2 linked regions of the Arabidopsis thaliana genome follow. The protein of the gene in region 2 purifies or fractionates together with the protein of the main gene of each other region. This does not show direct contact. Each region holds a gene or a part of one and is shown on either strand. Other genes may lie near its edges.

What was found. Proteins that work in one complex are often made in the same cells at the same time.
Region 1: the proteins of STM (region 2) and AT3G03960 purify together in Arabidopsis thaliana (affinity purification with western blotting, with the first as the bait; one study listed by BioGRID). This does not show direct contact.

The regions. Positions count from the first base shown.
Region 1 is NC_003074.8:1,021,487-1,028,991, reverse strand, and holds AT3G03960 (TCP-1/cpn60 chaperonin family protein), read right to left. Parts: upstream 4,849-7,505; 5' UTR 4,561-4,848; coding exon 4,410-4,560; intron 4,198-4,409; coding exon 3,935-4,197; intron 3,847-3,934; coding exon 3,700-3,846; intron 3,590-3,699; coding exon 3,428-3,589; intron 3,273-3,427; coding exon 3,195-3,272; intron 3,077-3,194; coding exon 2,943-3,076; intron 2,862-2,942; coding exon 2,789-2,861; intron 2,708-2,788; coding exon 2,630-2,707; intron 2,544-2,629; coding exon 2,421-2,543; intron 2,340-2,420; coding exon 2,245-2,339; intron 2,133-2,244; coding exon 1,923-2,132; intron 1,756-1,922; coding exon 1,698-1,755; intron 1,466-1,697; coding exon 1,388-1,465; 3' UTR 1,101-1,387; downstream 1-1,100. Other genes in the region: AT3G03970 (ARM repeat superfamily protein), read left to right, coding at 1-255, 339-848; ECT1 (evolutionarily conserved C-terminal region 1), read right to left, coding at 5,225-5,266, 5,365-5,502, 5,624-5,836, 5,921-6,469, 6,618-6,839, 7,011-7,081, 7,439-7,490. UniProt on the Arabidopsis thaliana protein: Molecular chaperone; assists the folding of proteins upon ATP hydrolysis. Known to play a role, in vitro, in the folding of actin and tubulin. Contributes to stem cell maintenance through its impact on transcription factors trafficking through plasmodesmata.
Region 2 is NC_003070.9:23,057,678-23,064,814, forward strand, and holds STM (KNOX/ELK homeobox transcription factor), read right to left. Parts: upstream 4,387-7,137; 5' UTR 4,046-4,386; coding exon 3,617-4,045; intron 3,157-3,616; coding exon 2,901-3,156; intron 2,211-2,900; coding exon 1,957-2,210; intron 1,329-1,956; coding exon 1,119-1,328; 3' UTR 905-1,118; downstream 1-904. Other genes in the region: AT1G62350 (Pentatricopeptide repeat (PPR) superfamily protein), read left to right, coding at 1-258. UniProt on the Arabidopsis thaliana protein: Required for shoot apical meristem (SAM) formation during embryogenesis. Negatively regulates ASYMMETRIC LEAVES1 (AS1) and ASYMMETRIC LEAVES2 (AS2 or LBD6). Probably binds to the DNA sequence 5'-TGAC-3'. Binds to RNA.

The DNA.
Region 1 (7,505 bases), on a different chromosome or scaffold from region 2:
TTTGATGCAGAGAACTGCAAGCCCCGAAACTCGCTCAGCGGATCAGTCAAGTCTACATCAAGTCTGCGAGAACATGATGGGAGTGTCTATAGTAGACAAGATAGGAGTTATGTAAACGATCAAGACGAGTATGATGTTTTGTTTTCTGGTGTAGCCAGTGGAAGAACTCTTGTCTCAGGCTCTCCTCTGGTGACTTTCGGAGACAATAACCAAGAAACTGGTTTTGTTATCGAGAGTCCAAGAATTGGAGATCAGGTAAAAAAGACTACAAACTTTAAAGCTGTCTCTTGTGTGTCCTTTTTCAGTGAAGTTTCATTGTGGTGCTTCTTTGATTTCAGATTCAATGTTCTGGTGTTGAAAATGGCAACATTGAGTCAGTTTGGTTCCATCAGCGGAACAGAAGCTCCGAGTTTAATGAATCTGTGTGCTCTAGGACCAACCGCTCAAGAAGTTCAAGACGAAACACCAAGAAGAGACAATCAGGAGACATTTGTTCAAAACATCACAGGCATGGTTTCGCACAAGATCCATTCACTGAGTTACTAGATAACAGACAGCAGCTGCTACAGTACAGTGAAACCTCGTCATCATCATCAATATATGATACCTCTGGTACTACAACTCCAACCAACACAACAGAAGATATCTGTGAGAAACCAAAAACAGATTTGGATTCTGAGGCCAAACTTAAGACAGTGGAGACTGAACTAGACCCACGTCTGGGACGGAGCAAGGGTGTGTTAAAATTGGGATTGAGTGTCTTCTCTATTGCAGTTGCAGGGTTTGCTTCTTTCATGTGGATGTATCTCCAGGATGATATGATGCCTCCTCATCTTGTTCCGACTTAAAAAGTCTAAGGGATGAACATTAAAAAGCTTAGAACTTACATAGGTTCAAATTCTAGCTTAGTTCTCTTGTTCTTTTGTCAATGTGTGGATCATGTTCAAATACTAGTTTGTTTGTTTTCTTTTTCCTAATGAATTTGTCACTTGTTCAAAAGTCGAAACAACTGTTAACCAGACATATTTACATAGGTTCAATTTCTAGTTAGGTTCTCTTGTTCTTTTGTCAATGTGTGGATCATTTTCTTTTCCCCGAATGATTTTGTCACTTGTTCAAAAGTCGATTCAAATAGAAACCAAATTGACATTAATACAGAGTTAAGCCAAAAATCCTAGTAATAATTTCACTAGCTAAACCGGAAAATCTGAGTGTTGAGACGAGCCAAAACAAGGCAAAACAGAAAAAGAAGGCAAAACACTTAAGTTGGTGGTGCGTTACAAAGATCACAAATCTTAAACTGAGACATACCAAAATTTTCTCAGACTTTCAGGAACAGAAGGTTACAAAAGAAGAGAGTTTCACTACGAGGTATTTGTTCTCCGGCTTAGTCTTCCTCCGCACCAGCACCTGCAGCTTGAGCTGCATCTCTCCTTGGTCCACCTGCTGGTTTCGCCATTATAATCTGCACATTTTACATAAATTTTGAGTATAAACATGCATGTTTTAGTAGATGAGATCAATCAGTGGAACTGAATATTGAATCTAAGAGTTTTCACGAACAAGGGACTTAATCCTGGAAGATAATGCATTCACCGAACAATATCTTTTTACTTCATGTGATGAATCAACACTTTACAATATAATAAAAAATTGCTCCGTTCACCAAAGATTAAATCAAGTCAGTTTGTGCATACCTGGTCTACACGAAGTACAGTGCATGCAGCATCTGAAGCATATTTAAGGGCAAATAACCTGCACAGAGACTTAAGCGTCTTAGTTATCAATTAAAGTGAATGGTAATCTTTGTAACCAGTCAGAAAATTCTACTCCAGTTTTTATATGTTCAAGAACAACTGCTAAGCAAGTATAGAGACGTCTGATAGAAATATTTGATGGCAAAAAGACAGTCTGAAACTTACTTGGTTGCAAAAAGATCCCATACTTTTGTCTCTGAAACATCTTTACAAGCACCTTCCTCTAAGTCAATGCCTAGTTTTGTGTTTCCAGATCCATGTCCAGTGTACAGAGCGGCTATGATTTCCATCGCATTGAGGCCAGCATTATCTGCAAGGGTCTTGGGTACAAACTCAAAACTCTCAGCGTATTTGGTGATGGCATATTTGTCCAACCTGAAATTTCAAAAGCGAATCCTAAGTTCAGTCCCCAAACCATAGACAGTTTTGCTTTAAAAGCTAGCCTCACATGTTTAATTTTTGAAAAAATGAAGTAAAAGAAAGTTACCCTATTTCTGCATTGGCGTATTCCTTCAACCTTTGAGCCAACTCTATTTCAGTCGCTGCAGCCCCGGGAACAATACGGCTGTCTCTGCACATGGCCTGAAAATAAAATTGAAGTAATAACAGTCACAAATTAATGAATTATACGATATAGATGGTACAAATGAAGCTAGATATTACCTTGTATGTGTTAACTCCATCATCAACAGCTCTCTCAAGGTCGTCCAAAATGCTATCTGTGCTTCCACGCAAGACCACAGTGGAGATGGAGTTACCACCTTCCTCGTTTCTTGCAATCGTGACCTAAAAGAAGACCGAGAATTGTCTATGATTAATGAAAGACAAAAATAATTAACCAAAAATATTGGAATTGACTTCGGAGTACTTACTGTCACACCACCAATTTCCTCAACCGATATAGAATCAACATATCCAAGATCTTCAGGGCTTGGCCGGCTAAGCTTCAACTGTTTGATAATTAAAGGATTAAAAGCTAGGATAAAACCACCCTTAGATACTCATTCAGATAGCCAATTAATAACACTTACATGGGCGACAGCCCCCGCTGTACGGCAAAAACGCCTCAGTTCAAACTTTGAGCTGATTTTCAATACCATTATCCTGCCAAGAAAAAATGGGGTATCAGAATGCAGACAATAACAATAGCTAAGACGAGTATAACATGATATGGTCTACACATACTTGTAGCGCTCACAGAAATGCAATGCCATTTCTCCAATTGATCCTCCACTAACAATGACTTTGGCTCCTGATTCCGCAACTGCTTTAATCAACTCCTCAACTTTAGCTTCCTCTGTCTTTGCATAGTTCTCTAGCTACAAATCCAATATAAAAAGAGAAATTTGTCACAATAACGATTACAAATACACAACCATCTTTGAGGAAGCCATAATCGTAATTTTGAAATTTTAGAAAGACAGTAACAAATCTAACCTGCTCAGCACTATGAATGAGGACAGTTCCTTTGGTCTCTGTTGCAGTGGTATCAACGCCACCAGCAAATACAGCAACCTGAAGAAAGCATAACAAATTGATTTAGAGACATTAAGCTATCAAAAACAGAAAAGACAAACCCACAAAGCTATATTTCATAGGGGACCCAAACATTGATCAATTCAGACAAAAAAAACTTTGTCAAAAGCATAAACAAAAGAAAGAGATCTCACCTTCGCTTTCTCCATTCGCTTAATGCTACCAACAGCATCACTTTTCAAGACCATACCACGGACTATGCAAGAATTGTGCAAGCCTCCTCCCAAAAGCTTGGAAACACGAACATTATCCACATTGAAATTCGTTGGATTCTTTGGGCAGACTTGAATACATGCCTAGAAATAATATGAACCCATCAAGTAAAATCTAAATCTGCAATAAACTTGAATAAATAACAATCTGAACAACGAAACAGGAAACAAATAGATAGCAAGGAATATCTTACGTCAGTAACTAAAGAGCAAATTATTTCCTCTTGCCCAAACTGCTTGCTTGCAACAGCTGCTCTCATCCGAGAAATAACTTCATCCTTGTTACGTACATCCATGGTCTCAGAACCAGTCTCAACCAGTTGTTCCAGTATTTCAACAGCCTGCATAATCAAAATCCAATAGCATTCGTCAAATACTCAAGACAAACAAATTGAAAAGCACAAAACAGTAATTCAGGTATTCACCAACCTTGCTGACAGCTTTAGTATATCCACTAATGATCTCACTCGGATGAAGTCCCATCCTGATAAGCTCCTCAGCGTTTTGAAGAAGTTCACCAGCAAAGGAGATTGTCAGATTAGCTCCATCTCCGATTTCTTCTTGCTGAGCCTTAGCAGCTAAAACCAGAAGTTTAGCAGCCGGGTGCTGAATCTCGAGCTCATTCACTATAGTAGCAGCGTCATTTGTGACAAACAGTTTGTCCAAATGATTGATAACCATTTTATTCATTCCTGAAACATTATAAACAGAAGAACTCAGTTCTAATCCGAATCTGAATCCCTAGAAAAAGACTTCACCTTTACAGTAACAGATCAAGCTTGCTTAAACTATACACAAGCGAGATCCTACTTACAACACTCAAGTAAAAGTAAAACGAAACGGAGAAAACGAGATTCATCATTTCAGTATTAGATCAAATCCCAATCAGAGAAACATTACGAACCATTGGGACCGAGAGAGGTGCGAGTAATGGTGGAGAGCTCCTTGCAAGCTTCAATGTTCTTAATGACGGCTTCGTCGAGACCAGAGAGATGCCTGTAACCTTCTTTAAGCATCGATTGAATACCATATGGCTGCATCGACATACCCACCATTTTCTAAGGTAACGATCTATAAGCTTCGAAGTTGGGTCACTCGAAACAATAGAGCAAAAACCCTAAAAGCGAAGAAGAAGAAGCTCTGTGAGATTTTCGAAGAAGTTTAGAGAGAAGGTTTTCTGTGAGTAAAAGTGGCCGAGATTGCCCTAGAAAACTTTCGAGGTTTTAAAATGGGAGTTCACAACGGTGTCGTTTTAAATTTTAAGGGGATGGGGGCCAAAAATTGAGATCTTAAATCTTTAGGGGTGAAAGTTGTATTATATGAAAGTTTAGGGACGAATAGAGAACACCATTCCTTCTGGTTTTTGTGCTAAACGGTGTCGTTTTAACTTTTATGGTGATGTGGGCCAAAATGTGAGATTTTTGACATTTACGGATGAGAGTCTTATTATATGAAAGTTTAGGGACTAAAAGAGAAATAACTTGAAAATAACATGATATGAACTTTGAAGGAAAGCCTGAGTTTTTGTTTTATCAGATGTGCGTCCCCTTAAGAGGAACAAAAGACAATGTAAGTTTTGTTTAGATAAGCAGAGAAAACACACAGATTAAAGATGTGTATTAGGTTTTTAGAAATCCCAACCCTGAAGAAAAAACATAATTCAAAACTAAGTTCTTTTAATTAAGTCATCTTCTTCTTTCCTTGCATTGATTCCATCTTTCAACTCAAGTTAATTGTTTCCCCCGAAGCTCCATCAAGGGCCTAATATAACAAAACAATCAAAATGAAACAATCCCAGAGACTGTATCAAGAGGGGTGGTTAATGTGCTTTAGATGCAGCAGGGTTTAAGGAATTGTACCTGTTTCTTTTGCTTGATCTTCTTGTCTCTGATGATCTTCTGCCTTGTCTCATAGAACTTGTAATCATCAAGTATACATGTCTTGCTCATATACTCCTTGAAGATCTTTATGATCTTGGTCCCATGCTCCAGATTCACCTGTACCAAAACCATCACCGTACAGTTTAAAAGCCTGACTAACAGCCATAATCATTATTTATTAGAATTCAATTAGGCTTCAAACATGTCCAAGAAAGGGTTTAGGGGAAGTTCAACGGACCTCTTGAGTGTCTCTGCTATTAGTGACAGGCTTGTTCTCGTTATTCGCCAGGGTAATGTGTCTTAAGAGACTGTTTGGTATGTCTTTGATGATATGCCACTTCACAGGGAAACAACCAATCCATTTATCTTGCTGCCAATACTCCATTGTCTTGTTGAAATCAACAGGGCCTACCATCTCCGCAAGACCAACAAATTGCCCACTTGCATTCACCTGTAGATAAAACCGATTACAGTGAGTTACTTAATGTAAATCTGAAAGGATATTGCACAAGACGTGAAGTAACCTCATACTGACCGAGAACAGAAGATACACAGGGCATTCTTGGGAGTTTTCTTTGGCTTCATAATATGCAGCATTCAACTTCTTGTTGCCAGTTGGTGTGCTCGACCATGCACCATACTTAATACAGTTATGAACATCATCTTCGCTGTATGACTTGATCACAAAGAATTTTGCTTTCACAAATGATTCAGGGAAATTCTCCCCATTGTAGCGCTGGAGATCTACTGCTGAAACGTCTTGCTTCATTGCATCTAGCATTGAAGAGTTAAGAACTTGTGGATTCTTGAAATCACTACTCCTTGGTCCTCGACATAGCTCATTAAGCCTATCTGCTTTCTCATCACTGTAACCACGCCCATGATTGAAGCTTCTGGTCTTTCTATAACCATCAACGGGATACCATCCTCGCCCAAGTTTCCAGGAATCATAACCAAAAGTTCCATATGCATGACCAGAGTCAATTACATTCCCGTAAAGTCCATACAATCCATGGTTGGAATACAAATGATCATTATATCCCAATTGGTCAAAACTTGGTACTTCTTGTGAGCTGTGTGGATTCTGTTAAATAAAACAGTTGTAGCCAGTAATTAGACAAAAAAAAAATCCCAAGTCCCAGCAGAGATGACGAAGAGAACAAAACACACATTCTCTTGACTATATGAAGACAGAAAAGAGGCAGAGAGGTCATGTGAAGTAACCAACATACCATGAGATGTGAAAAGGAACTGTGATTGCTGTTGCGGTCATAACCAAACCTCGGATCAGGGTAGCCACCAGAAGGATAGTTTGCTGGGATGTAACCCCACGGGTATGAACCAATCGAGTCTCCACCATTTAGCAGATTGCCAGCATTCATGTTTGGCCTTCTTTCACTTCCATGAGAAGATGCACCATAAGGTGCATGACCATACGGATGCTGAAAAGAACCCTTCTCAGAAAACAGTCAGTTAACAAAAAAAAAACTCACAGTATATCAAATTCACATTAAATGAGCAGCAAGACCTCTCCACAGAACAGTTTGTAGTTAAAGATCCTTCGACACAACACAATTTAAGTTCCAAAAACTTTAAATTTTCAAAAAGAAGTAGTAATTAAGTACCTTAGTAAAGTTCATAGGAACTTCATTTGCATCTGAACCTAAAGACAAGTCCTGAAACAAATCTGCTGTATCTGCAGCGATTATATACAAGAGCCCAGTTAATATTTTAAAATGACAAAGCCTCAAACTCCAATTGCACAGTCTAAACAAGGCAAATTACTGGTGAAATTCAACCCATAAGCAGATAAAAAAACACTAACTTGCAGAAAAACACAAAATTTCATCTAGCATCCCATAAAGAGGTTTGTAGAGAACTCTAGACACCAATCAATCCTATCAGAAACAGAAAACCTACGACAGATACTGATAACACTAGTCGCTAAACCCTAAACCCAAGGGTAGAAATCAATCGCAAGTTATAAGATGAGCACAAAATGATAACTTCCGATGCCAAAAAAGTTTTAATCTTTGAGCTAAAAGCAACGTACCCAGAAGAGGGAAGCTAGTGACGAGACGATCAGAAGAAGCGGCTCCAGCCATATCGAGAGAAGGCAA
Region 2 (7,137 bases):
CTTGTTCGAGGGTTCTTGGATAATGAACTTCCTTTAGAAGCAATGAGATTGTATGGAGAGATGAGAGAGTCTCCTGACCGGCCTTTATCTCTGCCTTTTCGAGTTATTTTGAAAGGACTCGTTCCTTATCCTGAGTTGAGAGAGAAAGTTAAAGATGATTTCTTGGAGCTTTTCCCTGGAATGATTGTATACGATCCTCCTGAGGATATATGTGAAGATAGTGATGAAGAAGCAAGAACAGATAGCGATCTTGAATAGAGAGGTATGTCTTGAATCAATGCTTGGTTTGGACTGTTTAGTTAGTGCTCAAAATGTCAGTGATGATATTATCCTCGAGGCTGACCCGATGTATCTTCGATCCATAGTTTCTCTTGTTCTGCACATCCACTAACTTCAGGAACCATGTCCCAGTTTCAGGTTAGATCAAGTGGGAAAACAAATGGAAGATTGTGGCTATGCAGAAACTGGAACTATTCGTCTTTGGTAGGAACAAATTATGGCTATTGAAAACTGAAGATGATGAGGAGCATATGAAGAAGAATTTGAGAAGCTTATAAGCGTATATATGTGTAAAGATCACTCTCAGCAATGCTAAATGCTGCTGTATTGAATCGGTTCAAGATAAGTCATATGTTTGTGAAGATACATACAGCAGAAAGCGTTTTAAGGGACAAAACTATTAGAAGTGGATTAAGTTTTGGTCGATCTTGTCTTTTTGGGATAGTGATGGGTCTGTTTGGGCCAGACTAGGTCTTTTGGAGTAATAGCATTCTCTCTTTTCTTTTCGTCTTTTCCATCCCAAAAGTACAAAATTTCGACGCAAATACTTAAAAATTAGCAAGGAAGATATACATACAACCAAAAAATGGTCCAAATTGTCAAAAAGGTTGTCAAATAAAAAGAATAGATCAAAAAAGCTTTACTATCATTATAATAGGAATAGGAATTTCGCATAACAATAGAACAACACAAAAGGATACACACCACAACATCAAACGCTTGTTCATCAATCGGAACATGTTTCATATGTTCCAAGTATACCGAGAACCATAGATTATACATATTATAAGCTGTTTAACGATTATAAATATAATGAAATAAACGTTTTAAAGGATCGATCAAAGCATGGTGGAGGAGATGTGATCCATTGGGAAAGGATTGCCCAAGACATTATCCATGAAGTAATGGTGAGGATGTGTTGCGTCCATTACTACAAACTGCATGTCCTCCGACGGCTTCCAATGCCGTTTCCTCTGGTTTATGAACCAATTGTTTATCTGTTTCTGGTCCAGCCCCGTTGATTCCGCAAGGGCGAGCTTTTGTTGCTCCTGCAATTTCATATCACATGCGAGAAAAAATCAATCATCAAGTGTTCTCTCCGATATAAGGTCAGTCCATGATCACAGCTACATCACGATTTGCTAGATTGTAAGGAGAACTTAGAATCCATCTACTCATACGAACATGGGTAATGACACTATACAAGTGTAATAAAGACATGAGCTACTATTGCATTAGGGTATGGCCTCATGCACCCTACTTTCCAAAGTTATGACTTGAAATATGTGCAACAAAGTTTAGTCTAAGTTATGGTACACAGCCATAAGATGAAATTGATCGTAGTCTTGACTAAGATTGACATATTATTCGGACCCTAAAAAAGGTATGGAAGCAAGAATCAAGTTTGTCATCGGCTAATAGACCAAAACAGTACACATAGACTAAATAAGTTCACTTCATTCAGCTTTTAGGATTTCAAATTATGCAAATGCATATTGTGCAATGCCAACATGAGCTAACATAAACTAATGTCCCTAACGATATAGTATGAATGCAAAAATCACTAAAAACATTGAAACAAGCTAATAGACAACTAAATTGAATTTGCTATCATATAAATGCTTTTTTAAAAACATGAAATGATTATTTAATTAGAGTATAAGGGAAGAGAGTTACCGAAGGGTAAGGCCATTTGTAGTGACGGCTCCACCAATCAAGCAGTTGTTGACGAGCTTCTTTAGGGAGCTTTCCTTTCTTCCTCTTCTTCATGAACTCTTGCTTGAGGCTCCCTAAGTAACCACTGTACTTGCGCAAGAGCTGTCCTTTAAGCTCTCTATCCTCAGCTTGTGGATCTACAAATTCATTGTTCATATCGACTTCTTCCTCGGATGACCCATTATTGTTCCTATCAATTGCTGTCTCTCCATAACCTTATATTGATTAAACATGTGAAAGCAAGACAAATTTGTCAACAAGAACATGTGTCTAGGGAAATGAAAAAGAATAGGCTAGTGATCCAAATAATTCAAAGTAACATGTTAAGTAGATGTGAGTTTGTGTGTCTATATAAACTTAACTACATTCTTGAAAAGAAGAGTGATATGACATTGTGTAGATATATGTATATGTGATTATACGTACAAAAACATGTGTATGTCTAAATTGAGCAATAGATCTAAGGACGAGCAGACTCTAGATCCAGATATTCTTTTTGATGCATTTGAATTAAATAGATCCAAAACAAACGGAGAAGAAAGAGACAAGAACAGTGATTGTTGTTGTACCAAAGCAAATGAATTCAATTCCAAACAAAACAAAAAAACAGTAAACAAACTGTTTTAATTCAATGAAAACAACTACATACACTAACTTATGTATAGATAGATTATACACGTAAACCTAGTAAGCTATATATAACAATCTGACACTAACCCTAGTAACAACCATCAAAGGGGTATTTACCCAAGAAAAATCAGAAAAAGGAAAATCTTTCTTAAAACCCACAAAGAAAAAAAACAACTTTCCTCATCTTACGTTTAATTTGACGCCATAATTAACAAGAATATGAATTAAAAAGAAAGAAAAAAAAACAGAGAACTAGAGAGAGAGGAGAGAGTAACCGGAGAAAGAGGAAGGTGAGGATAGAGAGAGGGATTTGAATTGACACTCGACACGTTGAAGGAAGACCATAGCTTCCTTGAAAGGTTTGGAGAGCTCTTGCTCATACTTAACGAGCATTTCACAGTAAGCTTCCATGAATTGATCAAGCCCTGGATCTTCACCTAGACATCCTGTTGGTCCCATAGATGCGGCAGCGGCTGCGGCAGACGAGCATGCCTCCTCTAGCCTCGCCACAACCTCCGGTGGTGCTCCAACCTTAAGAAATTGTGTAATTAGTAAATGATAGACATAAAAACGTTAATTGAACTAAGATAAGGATCCTCACGTTTATTGTGGATATATAATATAGTAAAGAAAAAAATGAAATAATTATATATGTCCTAATCTTCAAGCCTACATACAATATTTTGGATAATCTCTTGCAAGTAGGGTTTTTACAAATTGTTTCTTGAAACTTTCTCAATATAGGAAAAATTGTATCCTTTGATTTGTATATACTTAGCTGGGTTAAGTAACTAGTAAACAAAAGTAGATATCAAAATCAAACTCAGACATCAAGTAAAGGGTTATGTAAAAAGGAAATAAAAGGTAAAGTTTGGTAATTAGGGTTTCTAGAATCTTTCTCTTCTTTTTTGTGCAAGAAAATCAAATAAGAATCATTAGAGTTACGAAGAAACTTTCAAAGTAATTTTTTCAAGTTTCTTTCTCTCATCACCTTCTGACAATTGACATAAGCGGCCAAGAGGCGGTGGTAGTGAGGATGAGCCATGATCTTGGCCTTGACAGAGGCTGAAGAAGAGGAAGAGGAGCAAGGGTTGATTCCTCCTGCAACGATTTCGTTATGATGGATCTCCATTAGAGAATAGGCAGGAGCACAAGAGGAAGGAGAAGAAGAAGAAGCAACTTTGTTCTTAGTTCCTTGGGGAGGAGCTAGTGATTGAAGAAAAAGGGAACTACTTTGTTGGTGGTGTGACTGATATGCATAACCATCATGTTCTTGTTGTTGATGTTGATGATCATGACCATGATGTTGATGTGATGTCATGATGGGCGGCATCATCATCATCATAGGACACATCGGACCATCACTATTATCCCCGGCAAAAGCCATTGGACAAGAAGTGCTGTTGGAACCACTCTCCATCTTCTCTTTCTCTCACTAGTATTATTATTCACTTTGGCTTTGCTATATAGCTATGAGAAATAAAAAATGAAAATAACATAAAGAAAAAAAAAGAGGAGCCCCCATTGTAAATACAGCTAGCATTTATCATCAATATCATGAAACACATTAAAGTACTATAAATTTATTGGGAAACCCTAAAAGAGTAAGTAACTGTGTGTGTGTATCTATGGTTTAATTTAATTATTTGAAAATGCAAAAGTGGTCTCCCGGGATTTATGCTTCAACAATCAGCTTCCTTTTCCACATTGAAAATTCTAAATAGTGATAGTTATGGGGGAGAGGGAAGCAGCAGAAGAGAGACCAGGAAGATAAATCTAAGGAAATTATTATAAATAGGAAATAACTTTTTAGGAGAAACTTATTTTAAAAAAGTGTAAAAAGCAGACATGGACAGAGGTTGTGTGATCTGTGGGTTCTTAACTCTTTTGTGTTCTTCTGCTGAAATATGATTTCTCATTTATGCCTTTTCGGAAATTAATGTTGTAATTTCTCTTCTTCTTTTTTGAGGTAATAAACCGGATCTCAATTTATTTTTGACAATTTCTTGAAATGGAGAAAACCGGAATGTGCCTCGGAAAGTCCAGTGAAAGATATATTGGAATTTGTTATTTCTTTACCATGGGTCGGGAGTATCAAATCGAATGTTGTCATTTGGTTTTGGTTTTCATACCATGAATTCCCAAAAGTCTAAGTTTCCTGATGGGATATACGTATGCTGATGTTGGTTTAAAAAGTACATTTGTGTATATGTATATATGTATATTATATGGTATGTGAAGATATTATTAGGACTGTTGTACTCAAAAACTTTCTTAGATTCTCTCAATAATTAACCGATAGATCTCCATATAGTATAATTTACGCATTTGTTTCAGTAACATATATTGGATTCGCTTTTGTCAATAGGAAAAGATAGCAGTCTTAGTAATTTTATAATAAGTGATCTAACATTTGATTGCAATCAAAGTTTTAATACTATTGTAAATGTTCTTATGGGAAAAAAATGTTGTTAAGAAGAAGAAAAATGTCATAAATATAATCATAGAGTAAAACATGTAACTGTTTATTTGTTATATAAACGAAAATATTAAACACACATTTTACCTTAAAAAAAAAGTATCTTGTATTCTGTATTGTTTTTAAAAAGTGACAACTGATGGCTTGTTATATTAGACAACAATGAACCATTTGTATTTGCCACCATTATCATGTTCTCGACCTTTTTGGTCGATTGATTGTAATATTAGATGGTAGACCTCTTGCCACTTGAAAAAATAACCAATCACATTCAGACCACTAACCAAATCTATCGAGGCATTTTAATTAGAATAATATACGAGGCTATTAACAATTGTTAGCACTTCTTCGAACGTAGAATTGACTCAACATAGGACACATGTTACTATCAAGAGAATAAGCATGGGACACCTGTACCTGTTTATCCCTGAAAATAGTATACAGACTTGAGAAAAATTCATTTACGATTGACAAAGTAATTCATCAATTGTCAATTTGGAGGATTGTACGAAGGAAAATGATATTATGCATGTTACTTTAATACACAACGAAAGAAATGTATAATTTTACTTTAAATTTAATTGTCTAGTTCAATACTGTGGGAAAAAAAGAAAAACAATACAATTAAAATTATCAAAATTGATAAGTACATTACATCAGTGCCGTTTATTCGATCAACATTTCACTAGCCGTATGTATTGCTAATTTTGTTATCACTATTCGAAATATTATTTAGAAGTTGGATATACTATATATTCCCATACTCGTATGTCTATGTTTATAAGTAAACTATATAAAAATAAATATGTTAAAAAAAAGTAAAGACCAGTATAAAGCTAATTTTTCTTGCTTTTAGGTTAAGGACAGTGATTCGTTGAAATCAAAAGTCTTAGAAAAATATTGAAGAGAGAAATCTTCAAGGCAAAGTTTTACTTTCCCCATGAAAGAAGAAAAAAAACTCTCTCCTCAGCCACTGCCTTCACTGCCATTTCTGGCAAAGAAAAGATAACTGAGAAACTAATAGATAGAGAGAGATTACAAGGAACCCATCAAATCATATTTATATATTACCAAACTGGATTTTATTTCATTTGCTTCAAATTATGATTTATATATACCCTAAAATATATTTTTTTAAAAAATCTTCATTTAGTTATCCAAAATATGTTGGATCTGGACTAAAAAGAAGAAAAGAAGTGATTTTTCTCTTCTTTTTTTTTTTATTTTTTTTTTCTTTGTCTCCTACGCTCATAGAATTTTAAAATCGAAGTAATAAGTTCTCTTTTTTATGATGACAAAAAAAAAAGTTCTCTTTTTATCAATAATAAGATTTTAACCACAACAAATTAGGATAAACAAAATTAGGATAACGTAAAAAAAAAAAAGGATAACATAGCAAAATATTAGATATAAATATTTTTGCATATGTTTTCCTTATGAACTTTAAATAAATTTTAAATACAATAATTAACTTATAGGTAAATATTAATCAATGTTTTGTCAATTATCTCTAGTTGTTATTTTTAATTGCGCTGCGTTTTCGTTTAAGAAGTTATTATACTGTTTTCGACAATATGATTAATGATTTATGCGATTTTGGGAAGTGATGCACTTGCAAAACTTATATATATATCACACTATTTAAATATATATCACTTTTCATATTATTGAAAACGAACGTATATCTCTATAATAGTAGGACAAATAATCTGAAAGTAGTAGGGATTGGAAAGAGTATGAAAAGACATCATTACTAAAAAGCCATTTTGGATGTATATTCATTACATAACCGAAAGCAATTCTACTAAACAAACTTATTTCTTCAGTTTTGCAGTTTCTACTGAATATATTAGTTGGATCAACTTTTACCAAAGCAATACAATTTTATTCTTTTGCCATGGAACCAAAATTGTAGGATTTACTTAATTGTATTACCTAAACCTTTTTCATTTTTCAATGAAATATTTACATTTTTAGCAAAGCAAAATACAATTTTACTTTTCTTATTTGGTTAATTGATGAGTTTTTGGCCA